4 linked regions of the Schizosaccharomyces pombe genome follow. The gene in region 4 interacts genetically with the main gene of each other region. Each region holds a gene or a part of one and is shown on either strand. Other genes may lie near its edges. The genes, in order: top2, dbl2, nth1 and rad55.

Evidence for each region.
Region 1: mutations in rad55 (region 4) and top2 impair growth when combined (synthetic growth defect), as found in Schizosaccharomyces pombe (one study listed by BioGRID).
Region 2: of rad55 (region 4) and dbl2, a mutation in one rescues a mutant of the other (synthetic rescue), as found in Schizosaccharomyces pombe (3 studies listed by BioGRID, with this or other methods).
Region 3: mutations in rad55 (region 4) and nth1 impair growth when combined (synthetic growth defect), as found in Schizosaccharomyces pombe (2 studies listed by BioGRID, with this or other methods).

Annotation. Positions count from the first base shown.
Region 1 is NC_003423.3:1,975,608-1,983,087, reverse strand, and holds top2 (DNA topoisomerase II), read left to right. Parts: upstream 1-1,820; 5' UTR 1,821-2,321; coding exon 2,322-2,405; intron 2,406-2,431; exon of another isoform or gene 2,432-2,461; coding exon 2,462-6,835; 3' UTR 6,836-6,927; downstream 6,928-7,480. UniProt on the Schizosaccharomyces pombe protein: Control of topological states of DNA by transient breakage and subsequent rejoining of DNA strands. Topoisomerase II makes double-strand breaks.
Region 2 is NC_003421.2:308,329-313,397, reverse strand, and holds dbl2 (DNA recombination protein Dbl2), read right to left. Parts: upstream 3,085-5,069; 5' UTR 2,860-3,084; coding exon 712-2,859; 3' UTR 503-711; downstream 1-502. Other genes in the region: SPOM_SPCC736.02 (uncharacterized protein), read right to left, coding at 1-215; qns1 (glutamine-dependent NAD(+) synthetase), read left to right, coding at 4,917-4,945, 4,990-5,069.
Region 3 is NC_003424.3:1,105,921-1,109,868, forward strand, and holds nth1 (DNA endonuclease III), read right to left. Parts: upstream 1,957-3,948; 5' UTR 1,921-1,956; coding exon 853-1,920; 3' UTR 610-852; downstream 1-609. Other genes in the region: Lsd1/2 complex PHD finger domain-containing protein Phf2, read left to right, coding at 1-283, 333-609; transporter Hfl1, read left to right, coding at 2,647-2,783, 2,839-2,926, 3,135-3,948. UniProt on the Schizosaccharomyces pombe protein: Bifunctional DNA N-glycosylase with associated apurinic/apyrimidinic (AP) lyase function that catalyzes the first step in base excision repair (BER), the primary repair pathway for the repair of oxidative DNA damage.
Region 4 is NC_003424.3:2,065,923-2,069,724, forward strand, and holds rad55 (DNA recombination mediator, RecA family ATPase Rad55/Rhp55), read right to left. Parts: upstream 1,993-3,802; 5' UTR 1,843-1,992; coding exon 1,827-1,842; intron 1,783-1,826; coding exon 746-1,782; 3' UTR 520-745; downstream 1-519. Other genes in the region: eisosome BAR domain-containing protein Pil2, read right to left, coding at 1-82; SPOM_SPAC3C7.04 (transcription factor), read left to right, coding at 2,842-3,802. UniProt on the Schizosaccharomyces pombe protein: Required for radiation resistance and meiotic viability and acts in recombination and recombinational DNA repair pathways.

The sequences.
Region 1 (7,480 bases), on a different chromosome or scaffold from region 4:
GTTAAACGAAGAATTAGCCAATTTGAGTGTTCAATATAGTCACATTCAAAATTAGCTGAGCAAATTCAAATAAACTAAGATTAGGTTGGGTTTCTTTTCAACAATCCCGCTCTAGGATTGTATTTAAATGAAATTATTTTTAATGCTAGATAAAACAATAGAAGTAATATTGGTAAAGTTTTTCTTGATTTTGAGGAACCTTGATGCTTCTCACTCGGACGTATTGGTGATGCTATTTTGACGCTGATTTTAGTTACAGATCAACCGAAACTTTTTTTCTTCTTAGATATTGACTTCTTTGCCACAAAATACTTCTTTTAAAAACGTCTTTCCACTTTCGACTTTGACAAATAATTTTTTTCTCAAGCGAACTTTTTTTAATATACTATTCGATAGGCGAGCAAATATCCAACGTGGATCCGGGGATAAGCAAAGGCCAAATAGAGGTGCAAGATAGCTAGAAATATGATTTTTTTTCAATAAAATGAATTTTAAAATGAAGAGGACGTTGGTGGAGGATAAGTTCAGGAGGTCTGATGTGTTCCTTGGTAAGCGAGAAATAGCCTTATAATGTGGGACACTGAAGAATCAACCTTTTGATCTGCTCTGATCGAGCGGAATATGTTCGCGATGTCCGATTCCGTTTTTTTGGACTATTATACACAGGAAATTAGGGAAGTGATGGTTATGTTAGATGGCTCAAATTTAGGTCAATTAACATTTTGTGCGAATATCCAATGAAAGAAGCCGCCGATCTATTGATCCACTCTTTTCTTCCATTAAATAATTTATCGCTTACTGACTTATGAGCAGCTGTCTGAGATACTTCAAAAAGCATTTTTCTTGCTCAGATCCTACACATTTCGTTTTGGCTATCCAATGCTTGCTTATACCTTGAAAGAGTGACTCCGAATATGCGTTTGTCTTGCGCTTCCATTTTGTAACTCTCCTTATTAAACAATCGACTTCACACTATTTTTCGTCCATTAATGGGAATTGGTTGGCAACATCGATAAATAATGGAAATACTTAAACCCATGCATCAGCTATCTGCTGGGCCTACCATTTTTTGTTACATTTGCAGCTTCTTTTAAGATTTTCAGAAAAAAGTTTATTGCATTTATTAGATGAGTCTGTTGTTTGAGAGTTCTTTCTATGTTTTTGTTCCTGTTTCATACCTGCAATTGTTAAATAGAGGGAGAAGCTATATTCACAAAATTACTATTAAATTGTTTGAACTTAATGATAGTTACATACAACAATGTTTCAAGAACAGCTTAATCGAAATAATATGGATTAATGCTGATGGTACAATCAAGAAGAATTTAAAAAAGCAGTTTCTGTTTCCATCATTGCTTTCCGTTCATCTCTTTTTATCGTGTTTAGCGTTTTTCTTTCAAATGACCAACTGTAATAGGTCACTCAATTCTTTTACAATCTTTGCGAGCATACTCATGAATTATGGATTTATCTAAACATTCATTTTCCATTTTCAAAATCCTTTGTTTATTCCATACTATATAAAATAGCACCAAGAATTTCAATTTTAATTTCAAAGCACAAACATTCTTTATTATACAATTAATTAATTATTACATTTGCTTTACAAATTAGTTACAGCATATGTTCCAAATACGGTTTTTTTACAGACTTCAATTATGTTTTAAGCGCATCCCTATATTAATAACGCACGGAAATTTAGAAATCCTTTCTTTTGCTATTTATTCTTAAAAATAATTTTCTTTTTCTTTTTCCGTAGTAATCAATTCCTCGGTTGCAACTTCTATCTACTTATGTTCTGTTCTCTCTTCCTATCCTTCACCAGCTACCAACTTCAATCATTGTTGGGATAGTTGAACACATAGCCCTTTAGAGCTTTTAAACAAACTATTTAAATTAGTACTATCATACATACAATCTCTGAAGTTTCCATCATACTATTAGTTTTTCGTCACGCGTTTGCTTTGACCGACTTTCTACATACGTGAATCAGTCTGTGGTGATATAAACGCTTGAATATCTATTTAATACTTTTTTAAACCAAAAAATTAATCCAAATTAACAAAAAACATTATATTTGGTATTCATTCGTTCTACCTTCTTTTTTATCCATTACTTTTTTTTCAGGTCACTTCTCCATTCGTTTTTTAATATCGTATACTAAGGGCAAATATCATTTTCTCTTCTTACATATCTTAATTTTGTTATTTGACGTTGCTTAAAGCGTGTCATTATTATATCCATTGATTTTTTAATAATAACGTTTACACGTTGGAATAACCTTTGATTTACTACATATTTCCAACTTAATTTTACAAACTATGTCCATTGATGCGGATTTCTCCGACTATGAAGATGAAGCGTCTGGAGACGAAAACGTTTTACCTAACACAACCACCAAAAGGGTATGCAAGTGTTTGTGGAATTTATTATTATTTTAAAATACTAACAACTTTTTTAGAAAGCATCTACAACATCCTCAAAGTCTCGCGCCAAGAAGGCAAGCACTCCTGACTTAAGGCAAACTAGCTTGACATCCATGACAGCTTCTGAACAGATACCACTAGTTACCAACAACGGAAATGGAAATTCTAATGTATCTACACAGTACCAGCGTCTTACACCGAGAGAGCATGTGCTAAGACGTCCGGATACATACATTGGCAGTATTGAGCCAACGACTTCTGAAATGTGGGTCTTTGACTCTGAGAAGAACAAGCTGGATTACAAAGCAGTGACCTATGTTCCAGGCCTTTACAAGATATTTGACGAAATAATTGTCAATGCTGCTGACAACAAAGTTCGCGACCCAAACATGAATACCCTAAAGGTGACTTTGGATCCTGAAGCAAATGTCATATCAATTTATAACAATGGCAAGGGCATTCCTATAGAGATTCATGATAAAGAGAAAATTTACATCCCCGAGCTTATTTTTGGTAACTTGCTTACTTCAAGCAATTACGACGATAATCAAAAGAAGGTAACAGGAGGAAGAAATGGTTACGGCGCAAAACTTTGCAATATTTTTTCTACTGAATTTGTCGTTGAGACAGCTGATAAGGAAAGGATGAAGAAATATAAACAAACTTGGTATGACAATATGTCCAGAAAGTCTGAGCCAGTGATCACTTCTCTCAAGAAACCCGATGAATACACAAAAATTACATTCAAACCCGATTTAGCAAAATTTGGTATGGACAAGATTGATGATGATATGGTATCTATTATAAAACGCCGTATTTATGATATGGCAGGTACCGTTCGTGAAACTAAAGTTTACCTGAACAATGAACGCATCAGTATAAGTGGATTTAAGAAATATGTGGAGATGTATCTTGCTTCTGACACTAAACCTGATGAAGAGCCTCCTAGGGTAATTTATGAACATGTTAATGACCGTTGGGACGTGGCCTTTGCTGTTTCAGATGGACAGTTTAAGCAGGTTTCGTTTGTTAACAATATTTCTACCATTCGTGGAGGTACACATGTTAATTATGTTGCCAATAAAATTGTCGATGCTATAGATGAAGTCGTCAAGAAGGAGAATAAAAAGGCACCCGTTAAAGCGTTTCAAATAAAAAATTACGTACAGGTATTTGTCAATTGTCAAATAGAGAACCCATCCTTTGATTCCCAAACAAAGGAGACTCTCACCACGAAAGTTTCTGCTTTTGGCTCTCAATGCACATTAAGTGATAAATTTTTAAAAGCTATCAAAAAATCTTCTGTAGTGGAGGAGGTTTTAAAATTTGCTACCGCTAAGGCAGATCAGCAACTCAGTAAGGGCGATGGGGGTTTGCGTTCTCGTATAACGGGTTTAACCAAACTCGAAGACGCAAATAAAGCGGGTACCAAAGAATCCCATAAGTGTGTCCTTATCCTCACTGAGGGAGATTCTGCTAAATCTTTAGCTGTTTCGGGTCTCAGTGTTGTTGGTAGAGACTATTATGGAGTTTTTCCGTTAAGAGGAAAACTACTGAATGTACGGGAGGCTTCTCATTCCCAAATCCTAAATAACAAAGAAATTCAAGCTATCAAGAAAATCATGGGATTCACTCATAAAAAAACTTATACCGATGTGAAAGGTCTTCGTTATGGTCATTTAATGATTATGACAGATCAAGATCATGATGGATCACATATTAAAGGTTTAATTATTAATTATTTAGAATCCTCGTATCCTTCTCTTTTGCAAATTCCTGGATTCTTGATCCAATTTATCACACCTATCATTAAGTGCACTCGTGGCAATCAGGTTCAAGCATTTTACACTTTACCCGAGTACGAATACTGGAAGGAAGCTAATAACAATGGACGTGGTTGGAAAATTAAATACTACAAGGGTTTGGGAACAAGTGACCATGACGATATGAAAAGTTATTTTTCAGACCTTGATCGTCACATGAAGTACTTTCATGCCATGCAGGAGAAGGATGCTGAATTAATTGAAATGGCATTTGCCAAGAAAAAGGCCGATGTGCGTAAGGAATGGCTTAGAACGTATCGACCTGGTATATATATGGATTATACTCAACCTCAGATTCCGATTGATGACTTCATTAATCGAGAGCTTATCCAATTCAGTATGGCTGATAATATCCGTTCGATTCCTTCAGTAGTAGATGGCTTGAAGCCTGGTCAGCGTAAAGTTGTCTATTATTGTTTTAAACGCAATCTCGTCCATGAAACTAAAGTCAGTAGACTTGCCGGCTATGTTGCTAGTGAAACTGCATACCACCATGGCGAGGTTTCGATGGAGCAAACTATAGTTAATCTTGCCCAAAATTTTGTTGGCAGTAACAACATTAATTTGCTGATGCCTAATGGACAATTCGGTACACGATCTGAGGGTGGAAAAAATGCATCGGCTTCAAGGTATCTAAATACAGCTTTATCACCCTTAGCACGTGTTTTATTTAATTCCAATGATGACCAGCTTCTTAATTACCAAAACGACGAAGGCCAGTGGATTGAACCAGAGTATTATGTGCCAATTCTTCCCATGGTACTTGTCAATGGAGCCGAAGGTATTGGTACTGGCTGGTCTACTTTTATTCCTAATTATAACCCTAAGGATATAACTGCTAATTTAAGACATATGCTTAATGGCGAGCCTTTGGAAATTATGACTCCCTGGTACCGCGGCTTTCGTGGAAGTATAACGAAAGTTGCGCCTGACAGGTACAAAATATCTGGTATAATTAACCAAATTGGTGAAAACAAAGTAGAAATTACTGAATTGCCTATACGATTTTGGACTCAGGATATGAAGGAGTATCTGGAGGCTGGTCTTGTTGGTACGGAAAAAATTCGTAAATTCATCGTGGACTATGAAAGCCATCACGGTGAAGGAAATGTTCACTTTAATGTCACGCTTACCGAAGCTGGCATGAAAGAAGCATTAAATGAATCCTTGGAAGTTAAGTTTAAACTGTCGCGTACTCAAGCAACGAGTAATATGATTGCTTTTGATGCATCTGGACGGATCAAGAAGTATGACAGTGTTGAAGATATTTTGACCGAGTTTTACGAAGTACGTTTAAGGACATACCAGAGACGTAAAGAGCATATGGTTAATGAATTGGAAAAAAGGTTTGATAGATTTTCAAATCAAGCGCGGTTTATTCATATGATTATAGAGGGGGAGCTTGTAGTTTCAAAAAAGAAGAAAAAGGATCTCATTGTGGAGCTGAAGGAAAAGAAGTTTCAACCTATCAGTAAACCAAAGAAAGGGCATTTGGTTGATTTAGAAGTTGAAAATGCTCTTGCTGAAGAAGAACAATCTGGTGATGTTTCGCAAGACGAGGATTCAGATGCCTACAATTACCTTCTTTCAATGCCTTTATGGTCTTTGACCTATGAACGGTATGTGGAACTTCTCAAGAAAAAGGACGAAGTAATGGCCGAACTGGATGCTTTGATTAAAAAAACTCCTAAAGAATTGTGGCTTCATGATTTGGATGCATTTGAGCATGCTTGGAATAAGGTTATGGATGATATTCAGAGAGAAATGTTAGAAGAAGAGCAATCCTCTAGAGATTTTGTAAATCGAACGAAAAAGAAGCCTCGAGGTAAATCCACTGGTACTAGGAAACCCAGGGCTATTGCCGGATCCTCCTCAAGTACTGCTGTTAAAAAAGAAGCTAGCAGCGAATCCAAACCATCTACAACAAATCGAAAGCAACAAACTTTACTTGAGTTCGCAGCGTCGAAAGAACCTGAGAAATCATCTGACATAAACATTGTCAAGACAGAGGATAACTCTCATGGCTTATCAGTTGAAGAAAATCGCATATCTAAGAGCCCGGGATTGGATAGCAGTGATAGTGGAAAATCAAGAAAAAGAAGTCAATCTGTTGACTCTGAAGACGCAGGTAGTAAAAAACCCGTCAAAAAAATAGCAGCCTCGGCGTCTGGAAGAGGAAGAAAGACTAATAAACCAGTTGCTACTACCATATTTTCTTCAGACGATGAAGATGATTTGTTGCCTAGCAGTTTGAAACCTTCCACCATAACATCCACGAAGGCTTCTGCGAAGAATAAAGGGAAAAAAGCAAGCTCGGTAAAGAAACAATCACCTGAAGATGACGATGATGATTTTATTATTCCAGGTAGTAGTTCAACTCCAAAAGCTAGTTCGACTAACGCAGAGCCACCAGAAGATTCAGATTCTCCGATTAGAAAGAGGCCAACCAGAAGAGCAGCGGCTACAGTGAAAACACCTATTTACGTTGATCCCTCGTTTGATAGCATGGATGAACCCAGCATGCAAGATGATTCTTTTATCGTCGATAACGATGAGGATGTAGACGATTATGATGAGAGTGATTAGCTTCTAAAATTTGGTGTTTTCAAACGCTATTTACAGTACAATCTGAAAAAATTGGATGAACATTGTAAATGGTAGGATACGAGTTCCAATTAATGTATTTTTTAAGTATTACACTTAGCTTATTAATTTTATATATACATTCTACCTCTGTGGGTTTAAAGACAACTCGTACACATACTCAAATTATTTATGAACATTATAATGCATATTCGTACTGTCTATTAAACATTTTTTTGACATTAAAAATTTCGTTTACTAACGTAGAAAGCGCTGATAATTGAGGCTACTATTTTAATATCTAGAAACAAAGATTCATTAATTAATTAAGTAAGCTCCAGGATACTTGTATATTTCGTTAAAAAAGCGCAATTTCAACAATTCCTATGAACATCCATGATTTCATCACAAAATCAAACATATCAGGATTTAACGTGAATTATTTGCTTTCTTGTGATTTTCATCTGATTTCTGGTCATTTACGTTACTGTAAACAAGCTTTTTAAAAAAAGGATTTTTTACGCAATATTATCGATATCCCAATCTGTAGTATAAAAAGTGCAACAGTGTTGAGTTTCCCGAAACCAGGCATTTTTGCGGTAGGGTCTGAAACTTTCACGAAACCATTTCACAACAAAACTTCTTCAA
Region 2 (5,069 bases), on a different chromosome or scaffold from region 4:
TTCCTTAAAGATAATCGGTGTCTCAAACTACGAGAAGTCACTGCCAAATTCGAATTATTGGATAACAAAAATATTAATCTTAAAACTTCTAAAGGTAAAGACTCAAAAACCGTTAACGCTCTAGCTTTTCCATCAGTCAAATTATTTTTGACCTTTCTTTTCGTAATTTTTTCATTATAGTCATTTTTTATGGTCTGTTTTCGCTTTTTACCCATCTTTAACAAGATTTTTGGAGCTCACCAACAGACACTATTTAGTGCTGAAAAATTTAAACATGTATAGAAAATAAATGACTACAAAAGATAATTTAACTTAAAATATTTACAACATTTTCATAATAACCCAAATAGTTGGTTTTTTAAAAGAAAAGAATAAATCTGATACTTATTTGCTCAAAGGTTCAAAGAAGAAACTCAAGGTTTTGAAAAAGCAATGTATGTGCTACTAAAAAATGAAAATCAAAACCTAGAATTGTACTAACAACACCAAAAACAAGCTGAAATCTAATGTTTAAAAAAAAAAAATTAATTATATGTAAAAGAGCTAAATAAGTATAGCTAAAACCTAAATGAACTATGGAAAAATAAATGTTGATAATAATACATGAAGGAAACCAGAAATCAAAATTCAGTACTGTTTTTTGAATTAAAAATTATATGTAACAAAGTCGGCTTGAGAGAGAAGTTTCAACGTACGAAAGAAAAATTAATTTCAAATAAAGTCACCATCTTCGTCCGAATCGAGATCGCGTCCTTGTGTAGTCATGGCATGCTTAAATTTTAGCATTTTTAACTTTGCCCTTTTGATCTTGCTACTCGTTGAAGCAAGTGTTACTGTATTTACAAATGGCAAATCCGTAATGTTTGACGAAAAAGGCTCAATAGGTAACGAACAAGACTCTTGAAAAGTTGGTAAAATAGGAGATTTCTTTCCCGCTTTAGAAAAAATATCCGGAATTTTGGTAAGTATTTTCGGAGGCTTTTGGTTTTTGCTGGGTGAGAGATTTACAGCTCGAACAGTAGGCGAGGATGAAATGGTATCCGAAGGAGAAGAGTCCGTTTCAATAGCATTAGGAACATTTCCTTTTTTCTTTTGGACTTGGTCCGAAGAAGAAACAGTAAACGAAGGGACATTAAAAGGGCTAGAAAATACCGACACATTTCTGGATTTCGAGTTTTTAGGCAACGACGAATGTTCCCCTGAAGATATTATAGAAGTAGCTCCAAAACCGTCTTTTCTTTTCGAACCATTTGCATATTTAGGATATATCAACAAGCCTGTTCTCAGCGATACACCTGAATGTTTGGCCAAGGAAGGATGTTTGGCATGTTCAAGCACAGTAGAAGGTGAAACGTTAGGATTGACTGCATTGTTGGATTGTAGAAAGATTGAAGAAGAAGCACTAGATCCATTAAGTTCGTTTGAGCGAAGGGACGTGCCTAAGTGAGAGTGACTCCTACCAAACGAGGACGAAGATGCTGGTTTAACTAAAGGAGATGAAAAAGACGGTACACGAAACTTCACGGGTTGAAAGGCTTTTTTGTTGGGCAAAGCCAAAGGTGTTAAAAGAGATGACGAATCTAGCGAAGGAATGTGTTCATCCTCTTCTGATGCTGCATCTAGAAAATCAGGAGAGTTTGGTATTTCATTATCAGTTGTTTCTGTTACATTTTGAAGCGATGCCAGCTCGGCAGCAGTTTTGACACTTCTTTCGTACAAGTTTTTTGAGGGGTCGGTAACTGTGATATTAATAAAGTTTTGTCGTTTCCCCGTGGGTTTCCGAAGCAGAGGTAACGGAAGGCGAGTCAAACGGAGACGTTTAGAAGTAGGACTGGGTTCTGCAACAGAAGAATCTTGTCTTTGATGATCATCATTTAGCCCATCGTTTTTGTTGGAAGGTATGGTATTACAAGCGCGGGAAGAATGAGGAGATCGAGCATGATTATTAGAAACTTCTTCATTTCCATTTTCTAATGCCTTCACGGAGACACTTACGTTATCATTACTTAGGTTTTGTAACAAATGACCAGCATTTGAATTATTTAGAGTGGTAAAATCATCTGCCTCGAGATCGGCAGAAGGGGAAGAAAAAAAGTCAGAAGCTATGTCGTCTTCTCCAAATTCTTCTACAGGATCTTCAACCAAGGTGCCATTAAAAGACTTGGGTTTTGACAAAACAGGGATATATGCAATTTTCGAAGGTTTCGGTAGCGCAGTTACGGATGAGTTAGATGGGGGATAGGGAGAGGTATTGTTAGCTCGATTAGATTCCTCAACAGAAGAAGCTAGATATGAGTTTGGTCTAAACTTAGCTTTGGGTTGTATTTCCGGTGTTACTGACAGTTGATGCTTACTTGAACATCTCAAACTACCAATATCTGAGTCATCTACTCCATAAGATTGCAAATTTGCGTTCCGGAAGATCGTGGATTTTGTTGAATTTGTATGATGAGCGTGTGTTTTTAACATATTTGACGATAAAGCACCATTTGAATTGTTAGATACATCTGAGTTAGCGGAGTGAAATGGAGGCTGGAATGGTTTTAATAAATAAGCTGGCCTCTTCCCTGTCTCACTCAATTTTGATTTCCTCGGTATAGGTGGAATATTCGCTTCAGTAGTTGTTTGTAAATTCTCAACGTAAACAATAGTTCTATTAAATTCAATTTCAGAATCCAGAACAATTCTCTTGTTGTTAAGGAAAAAATCATCTACGACTCGGTTATCAGAATCGTAGAGAATTCCACGATTATTGAAGCTGTGGAAGCGCATTGTCCCATCTTTCCAAACTTTTACTTTTTTTGCTTTATCAGACGTCCACAATACTTGATAATGAAAAACATTGGAACTTGTATCCATAGAATATAAGTTTTAAAGCCTGTAAAGGCAGTTCCGAAAGGTGGCTTACGAAAAGCTTAATATTGTTGAAAAAAACTCACAAACCACCCTATTTAATAATTAATTAAAGAATAAGAGTGAGAATATCTATTTCATGTATAAACCTCATTTGAGCATTAATTGCTCTCGCTTTAGGAATGGGAATTACGTGCTTTTGTTGGATGGTAGTTAGGAAATGGTTGGTATACAGCAGAAAGTTGAAATCTAGGAAAGTAAATGATCTCAAGCCAGAAAATTACATCTTTGTAGAATCCTTAAACAAGGTTTCCTTTTCTTTTCTTTTTCTTTATGAACTACAAACGAGTTGAGCTTTTGGTTATTGATATGAGGTACTTGTTTACACGCCGAAATGATTGAAGGTAACTTTATAATACGCAAGCAGAAGCAGATTATCTCTTGAGATGGTTTCAAGAGAGATGCTTATTTTTATTAATTTTACTAATCTACAAGGTCTAATATTTGATGGGTTTTTCTTTAGTAAAAGGTCTCTTAGTGCCCAAGGAAGCAAAACTGTTAGATAATTTTCAATATCCTGTATCGAGAAACGGAAACAATGGTTAATAATCCCGATTGATAGTTTCATAGGGACAGACTGTGTGTATACATAATGATATATAAAAAAAGATGTCTTTTTTCACCTTAAACCATGAAGTTTACAGTTGAGCTTACAGAGGCAGATTGCTTCAAATATTCGTAATGTAAAATTATTTATCTTGTAAATTTGTATCTATCGTCGCATTATAATAGAGAATCTAAACATAGCAGTTGGAGATAAAACTGATTCTTTTGTTCTTCTATCGCTTTTGAGGTTTGCAGGCAAGAAAATTCATCAAAGATGATTGATGATACGATTAGGTGCAAAAGTACTTATGTTATAATTTTAGCAACATAAAAGGCCTATAGAGGGTAATTCTGCTCGAAATCTTGAACTTGCAATTCTCATCACCATGTCGAAGATAGGTACAAATTAAGTTATTAAAGTTGGTTTAAGCGCACTGATAGAAATTTACCTAAAATTTAGTACTTGGACGAAATTTAGGAGAAAAAAGCCCAAGAAGATGAAGAAAGTTGTTTCATTGTAATAATAAACCTGAAATCTTTTGTCAATTCTAATTAATACCCTTTCAAAAAAGAAGACTGATCTTTGCAATCACTAAAACTATTAAATTTATTGAGCAGCTGAAGAATCATCTGTCTATAATTTGCAACAAGAAGTAACTGAAGGGGAGTTAAAAAATGAGTATCAACCATTATGGCATCTGTCGCTTTGCTTCTTCTTCTTTAAGCTAAGTAATTTCGATTATATGCTCCAAGAACTAAGTATATTAATTAAATCATGAAATATTTTCAAGGATAAAATTAAAACAATTTTGTACTATTAAAAAAATGTAATTACTGTTGTGCGTATTCCAGATATCAGCTTGCTCTATAATCATCAAAAAACCTGTAATTATAAGCGAGTAACACTAATAAAACCAGACAGACTTTAAATCAAAAAATTTCATTTATTAGCTCGTATATCTGAAAAAGATAGGCAAATTTTTTTATTAAAGGAAGTCCCAGAAATGACTTCACTTGAGAAGATATATCGCTAAAACTAGAATTTGTATTGCAATATCAAATAAAAATTACAATTATTCTGATTTTATAAATCAATTTTTAAGCTATGTAGTAATGTACAATTAATACACATGTAGTTAGAAGAGTCGCCAAAATTTGCATAAGAAGTATTAAGGTTCTTTTTACTAATATCAGAGAGGGTCTTTAAAATTATTTAAATTTTCTTTTTCTTACTTAGGGAAACTGGCATTTTTGCTATATGATGCGAACCCTTTATTTACACTTGACTCTACTATGACAACTACCTCCTGCTCTTACTTACTGCCATAACCGTGAATAGACATTTGAATAGAAACTTCGATCTTCACTCATAGTTGGAACTTTTATAGTACGAAAAAAACATTATAAGTTAAATTACTTGTTTGGGAATAAACCTCAAGTTAAGCATTCAGTTCATTATGGAACGATATGTAACCATCGCATCTTGGTATGCTATAATCATTTTTCGTCTCAATGATCTAACTTCTGTAGTCAGCTGAACCAGTGGGCAATGGACTTTGAGGGAAACCGTCTACGCATCATTGATTCCATCAAAGAGGCGAAAAGACAAA
Region 3 (3,948 bases), 960 kb from region 4:
AAAGGTCTGCCTTTACAGCTACTATGAATGAACCTGTAACGGGAGATCAGTATCTAAGTCTAAATAATGGAACAGAATCACAATCGAAAACAACCAAGCATTCGACGTCCTTACCTTCGACCGAACCAGTTGAAGTGGATAAGCAATACATGGAGAGTGAAAAAATTCCTACCATAGATGAATACTTACAAGAATATAGCAATGAAGATGAAATAGTTTTACAAGTTTTAGAATCTTTCCCTGCTGCTGTTTCTTTTTCTACTATCACTAACACTATTCAAGCGTAAGTTTTCTATATATTTTCCTGACATCGTCAATTACTAATATTCTAGTAAATACTCGAATAGAAAAATTAAAAATTCGAACATAACTCGAAGCTTAAACAGACTGGTCCGTAAAAACCGTGTTTTACGTGATGCGAGGGGTAGCAGCTATGAACTGAACAGAACGTTTGATGCCGATCGACCATCAGTGCGCCCTGACATATCTATAACCGGCCCCATTCCTATCGATTGGATGCTGTATACGCCTCACACAGAGGATTTAACCGAAAACTTTTGTACTTATTATATGTTCGACGAAACTCCAATTGTTCTTAGTAGTATTTAACGAGTATCTTACATTCTGCATTGTTTGTTGAAGGGTATAACAACATTAATGATTTCAATTTATTCCAAGATTTAAAAAAATTATTAAAAAGTAAAGGTAGAGGATATTATAACTATACAGTCAGTAGCAAAAGGTTCTTGAATATGTTTAAAGACGGAGTTGTAAAGAATAAATAATTTTGAGTAATTCATGTAAATAAATAACAGATTTATGTTGTCCAAAATTTACGGTCCTAAAAATAAATTAAACCAGATCTTCAATATCTTGTAAACTTTGTTGGGAGAAATACTGGGATGATTTTTTTGCAACTCGCTTTGACCTGCGCAGTGACCTAGTTTCTTTTGTAGTTGAATGGAATGCGACAGGTGGCTTCTGATCTACATCAATATCAGCGGCTGGTTCTTTTTTCAAAGGTTCATTCATGTGTGATATACTATCAACAGGGTCCAAGTCCTCAAGTTTTATAAGTGATTTATCTTCGATGCTTTGGTAATACAAATCATCTGTAGGAAGGGAGAGTGGAGATAGAGGAGGTGACTCAGAAGCAGGTCTTTTTTTGACTCTTTTAATCGTTTTGACTTTTCTCTTAGTTATTGTGATGCCACTTTTTTCTTTAAAGGCGCTAGGACACAAGCCCTTAGAAGATAAAGTACACATATCACAGCGCCTTCCTCTTGGTAAACAGATTGTTTGCCCAAAACCGACAAGTGTATGGTTCAGCTCAAACCATAATTCCTTAGGCAGCCAGCTTTGCAAAGCAGCTCTAGTCTGTTCTTCAGTTTTCGTATTACACCAATGAAGAAGATTACATATACGATGTACGTGAACATCTACTCCAATTCCAACAGTTTTATTCCATGCAATACTCATACATAGATATCCCATTTTAGGCCCCACACCTGGGAGAGTCATTAGGTCTTCTACGGTGTCCGGAATATCTCCTTGGAACTTTTCTGATAAAATACGTGCCATTTGTTTCAAATAAATGGTTTTTCGGTTATGAAAACCAACTTTCTCGATTAGTTTATTTAGAGAAACTTCATCAATATTTTGGATATCTTCTAAACAAAGTCCTCCAGCTAATTTTTCTTTTAAGTTTCGCATGGTAGGACCCAGTACTATATCTTTTGTTTGGCTAGAAAGCATCAATGCCACCAGTGTTTGAAATCGAAATTTTTTTGGATCATTACGTTCTCCTAATGTATGACAACCCTGAACGTCTACAGGCGCTACGACCTTGGCTTTCATTTTACAAATTTCATCGTAAACCTCCCTCCAGTTCTCAGGAGGAGTTCCGTAGTCTTTACTCATTGCTTAACAAATACAAATTTGTCTGCAGTCTTGGCTAAAGATTTTATTTTCTTCAACAACTCATTTACTGAACTTTAGCGATATTACATCCAAGAAACAACGCAGGTGAGCGCAAAAATATTAAAATTTATAAGTGATTTGTTTTGAATACAATGCGGTAATAGTCTGACTTGGAGTTTCTCAATTTTATAAAAGAAATAATTTTTTAACTAAGCCATATATATGCCAAGGCGAAATTCTCCTACGCATTAAGAAACAAACACTCATTATATTTTACTGCTTCTTTTTCAAAAAGTCAGCTTAAGAATCATCAGAATGCTATGGGAGACATTACTTTAGGTCCTCCATCATACAGAAGGGAGGAAAGTAGAGTTTAAAAAAAAAACAAAAATTAGATTAATTAAAGATCACGAATTGCTAGTATTATGGAAACAAATGATTTTTACAGCAGTACTACAGCTATAGGGCAAATTATCCTGTAAGACAGTATTATTAATTTACTTTTGCTATAAAACAATATCCATACTAAAGAGGTAAATCAATATTAGCTTCGATGAACTCTTCCACATCACAAAGTTTCGGTACTTTATCTATAGCTTATGCGTACAAACACCGTAAAGCCCGTAGTAGGTAGTATCTGTTTGGAATTGGAGAAGGCCCCCTTATAGCTTGTGGTAGCCACCTTGCCTGCATTTTTGTCCCTTCATCACGATCAGCTCTAATTTCATGGACAACGAAATAGTCGCATTATGCGGCTTCTTCGTAGCCATTGCTTTAGTGCTATCATGTATTTCTATCATTACTCATTTGAAAAATTACAAAAAACCAGTCTTACAGCGTTCTGTGGTGCGAATTTTGATGATGTTCGTAAAATTGAAATTCTTTGACTGATATAGAAATGTACTAATGCTTTGCTAGGATTGTAATTTACTCTTCTGTATCGTTTTTATCGGTATACAATGAAAAAATTGGAAGTATTTTCGAACCGTTTCGTGAAATTTACGAGGTAGGTTTTTCTCATTTAGCCGTTGCCATTGAATGAAGTACCTTCCTTGGCAATCAATATATTGCAGATTTGTTTTAAAATGCTTGAAAAGGGGTTGACTGAAAGAGTGGTTTGGCTGTTATGAGTTGTACTATGTTGGTTTACTAGTTTAGTTAGTTAATGAGGCGTAATTGAGGTTTTAATGGAATAATTTCTAACAATAAATTAGGCATTCGCTTTGTATTGCTTTTTCTGTTTATTAATTGATTATCTTGGCGGAGAACGGGCTGCAGTTATTAGTTTGCATGGACATCTGCCTCGTCCTAGGTTATGGCCCTTGAATTATTTGCAAGATGATATTGACCTAAGTGATCCTTACACCTTCCTTTCTATAAAACGTGGGATTTTACAATACACTTGGCTTAAACCATTTCTGGTGATTGCCGTGCTGTTAACAAAAGTCACCGGAGTCTACGACAGAGAAGATCAACCTGTTTATGCTTCTGCAGACCTTTGGATAGGTCTTGTTTATAACATTTCAATTACGCTTTCTTTATATTCACTAACAACTTTTTGGGTTTGCTTGCATGAAGAGCTCGCTCCTTTTCGCCCTTTCCCAAAATTCCTTTCCGTTAAAGCTATTATATTTGCCTCTTACTGGCAGCAAACCGTTCTTTCCATTACAAACTGGCTGGGACTTTTAAATGGAACAGGCTGGATTTACTCCTTACTAAATCAGAACGTTCTCATGTGTTTAGAAATGCCCTTTTTTGCCCTCTCACATTGGTACGCTTTTCGAATCGAGGATTACGATACACCCACATGGCTGTCTTGTGCAAGACTACCGCTCCTTAAAGCCTTTAAAGACGTAATCGGGTTGAAAGACGTCTGGTGCGATAGTTTGCAAACTCTACATGGAGATCGTTATGTATATCAAAATTTTGAGCCTGGGGAGAACTTAATACCTTCAAGAAACGATGGAAGGATTAATAGAACAAGTCATGGTCTTCGGTACAGTCAGGGAGGTCAATCGAAATACTGGA
Region 4 (3,802 bases):
TAGTAGAGGGAGGAATTTGATTCTGTTTCGCTTTAGGAGGCGCGCGAAGCGTATGAATAGAGTAAGATGGTTGAGTGCCCATCATCTTGCTAATTACTTGATAAACGATTTAAGACTTTGAAAATATGTATATATAAAAAGAGAAAGGAAATACTAATAAAAAGGTTAGTATGTTAATTAGAGGTAGGTTGAAACAATGTTCATTAAAACATACTTAATCCGCCAACTCACACTAGACAAAGCGAAGTATAAATAAGGTCAGGCTCAAAATGGACTTATTAGACTACACTTTCGAAAGTAACAAAAGAGCTGTAAAGTTCAGGTAGATTTTTAGCGACTTGAACCCATGTTTTAAAGATTTGAGCTAGGCTTGAGACGTCACTATGTCAACATGGAATTTATATGTCGAAAGCATAATGTCATTATTGTCCGTACACTGAATGCGACACCTAAACAATTGAAAATTAATAAGGACTTGTCAATCAGCAAACATATAGATATCTTAATCATTTCCCTCCTCTATGACAATTAGCAATTTCATAAAAATGAACGAACAAAATAGCTTATGATACATTATGAAAAGATATGAGATCACAAATAAATCATTGAGAAACTTTTGACCAACACTCGACAAGTATTCATAGTTGTTTATGCAACGTAATGAATAGGTATAATAAATTAATAGATATGGGCAAAACAACCATCACTATGCTAAAAAATTCGTAACTGAAGCCACCATTTTTACCTAGGACTCACATTCCAAAATGGATCTCTTACGTCGTTGTGAGCTATTGGTAGGAATACTTTGATAATCCTGAATACCAGTAGATGTTAACTGAAAAGCCAACTCTGATTCTGCAGAATGAGCTGGTGGCTGCTTTGCCATGAATGCATAGCGCAGAAGCTGATGAGAGGGACGACTCTGTCCATCTTTTGATTCTTCAGTTGAATGCCTACTGTAAAGAATGAGCCGATAAGATAGATTATCTAACCAATTAGTGCTGAGAAGCGGTATCAACTTAGCACCTATCCCACTAACAACTTTTGAAGTCATCTGGGTGGTAACAAAGATAGCCACATAACAAGAGGATGTAATTTTGCTTAACAAAGAACTGATTGTACCGATTGCCTTTTTTCTGCGGTTTATTGTTGTTTTGGTAGAGGAGTTATGAAATGCAAAATTCGAGTCGTCTTTACTCGAGAACTCATTTTCTTTGTTTAACGTCAAAGTGTTTTCTTTTTGAGATGAATCTGAAAGGGAGCTTTTTTTGCTGGTATTACGACGAAGACGTAGATAAGCATAATCTTCTGGACTGGTTGGATATGCAAGTTGAATAGGCATTGATAGGTTGTCAATAATTAATAATCCAATTTCTTTAAGATGTTTTTCTTGATCGAAATTTCGTAAAAAAGCTAGAATATTCACTAAATTGGGTGCATATACAACATCGAGAAGATTTAATAACTCATCAGTATCGCATTTTTCCTCTTCATCTTGGGAAGAAGGGACGTGATTGTCTAATAGTTGACGAAGTCTCTCCATGGGAATTGGTTGACAAGTTTCGACCCAAATCACACGAGAACCGGAAAGAAGAGCGTTTGCAGTAATCTGTAAAGCCAAACTTGTTTTTCCCATCCCAGGTGCTCCACATACTTCAGAAATATACCCTCTTTTAAGACCACTTCCTCCAAACGCATCATCCAATAATTTTGAATTAAAGCCGAAACCTGGAGCAGAAAATGCTTCGTACGCACGAATAGCAGGTTGAGTCACTAGACGATCTAAAAAGTATTAGACACAGTTAGCTAGGCTGGAAGTCGCATACGTTGACTAGACAGCATTTATTTCAATGAAGGTTAAATCCAGCACAGTGCGACCTACTAGAATAACAGCGATACAGTTTATATTAAATTGATAACAGCATAAAAAGGATATAGGAAAATTTCCCTTTACATGAGAAACAACGATACGTTGTAAGGTTTGGAGGTGTTGGTAGAACGACAAAGGAAATCCTACGTGTTTTACTTTGCAATCATTTCATTAAATGTTGTTTCTTATAAGGAATAAATTATTTTAGTCTTAAGGTTAAGCAGATTAGAAGGTAACAAATTCGTAACCTTTATACATAATGGGAAATTTGACTAGGTAGGTCAACAGGAATGCAAGAGTAAGCTCAAGTTCATTTGAATCTATGATTCATTACTGCCTTTGACTTTGAACTTTAAACTTTGGGTTCATATAACGCAACATTTACATTTGTATTGAAACTCAAGAGGGTTTTAATCAAAATAGCTATTATTTTCGTACTACATTCCGTTTATGAAATAGCGTGTCGACCGATATGTGTGCAATTAGTTTACTATGTACACAATACTCATTTTATTGAAGAAATACTAAAATGGAAAATTATTAACAAAAATCGATTGCATGCCATGCTTCAATAAACGTATAAGCTCGTCAACGAAAAGAAATTGACGGAAGTTCCCATTTTCAAAGTACAATACAAGCAGTATTTATTTTTCAAAAATTTAAAATCGGTTAGATTTTTTCTTAAAGTTATGTATAAACAAGGTCTCATATACTAATAATATGTGTATATATTAGATTTCGTTGATAAAAAAGGTTCGTACCACTACACTAAATTACGCCCTCCAGTAGAACATAGGAGCTGGGGTACTACAATTTTTTCTTTTAGGCATTTACTAATCAAGTTCTGCCAAGTCATTGCCATAGTTAAGCATTTTCTCTTTTCAGAATTGAAATTCTGTAATATAGAAAAAGAATTTTAAATTTATGGAAATTGGTATGAACTTGGTATTTTACTAACATAAACGGGGAAAATGAGCCATGAATTTTCACCTGAAAATACGGCGGTTCTGTTCGAAGCCATGAAGCAGGAGCAGCATAATAGGAGACGTCGTGTTCCTATGGAGAGACGAAGAAGGGTGGTTCTAGCCTGCTTTAACTGCAAAGCCCGGAAAGTTCGTTGCGACGGGGCAAACCCATGCAAAGCTTGTGCTTCCAATAATTTGGAATGCACATATCCAGTAAAGGATGAAAAAGAAATGGATTATTCTAAGGACTACTTTATTGATCTTTCAAAAAGATACAAGTGTTTAGAATATATTGTTGAACGTCTTTGTTCCACCAAAGTTTCGACTTATACTACACCTTCATTGATTGAAGTTTGCAATCGTATAAGCAACCAAAAATCACTATTATCTTCAGATGTCTTTTCCCTCAATAGTGAAAGCACCAATAGTCAACGTGACGTGGATACCCTTACACAAGGTGCACTTGTTTGTTCACAAATTCAGCAAGATCCAACGGTCGTAGCAGAGGATACGAACAATGGAATCAATGCTGATGCTAGCGATCAAAGCGTTGACGAAATCATGAAATTAATTGGAAAAATAAAAGTTGACTCTAACGGCGAATCCCGTTATATAGGAGCTTCTGCTGGTGAAGCATTCGTTGACTCTGTTCAAAGTGAACTACTTGTCGATCCTTCTTTTTCCGAGCTGAGCGCGTATTCCCATACCCATCACAGTTATCCTCCGAATGAACATGATGTAAATGCTGTTCAAAAAGCGCTGAGTCTTCTCCCTCCTCCTGAAGTTTCAGATTTTCTTATCAAATCTTTCTATGGCCATGTTCAAGCAAATTTTTTCTTTTTCCATGAAACATTACTTCGTTATCGTTTAAACCTTATCATGAGCTTCCAAAATCCATCCGTTGACCCTGGCTTTCTTTGCTTGCTAATGATGATCTTTGCACTTGGTAGTATGTTTGCTCACATGG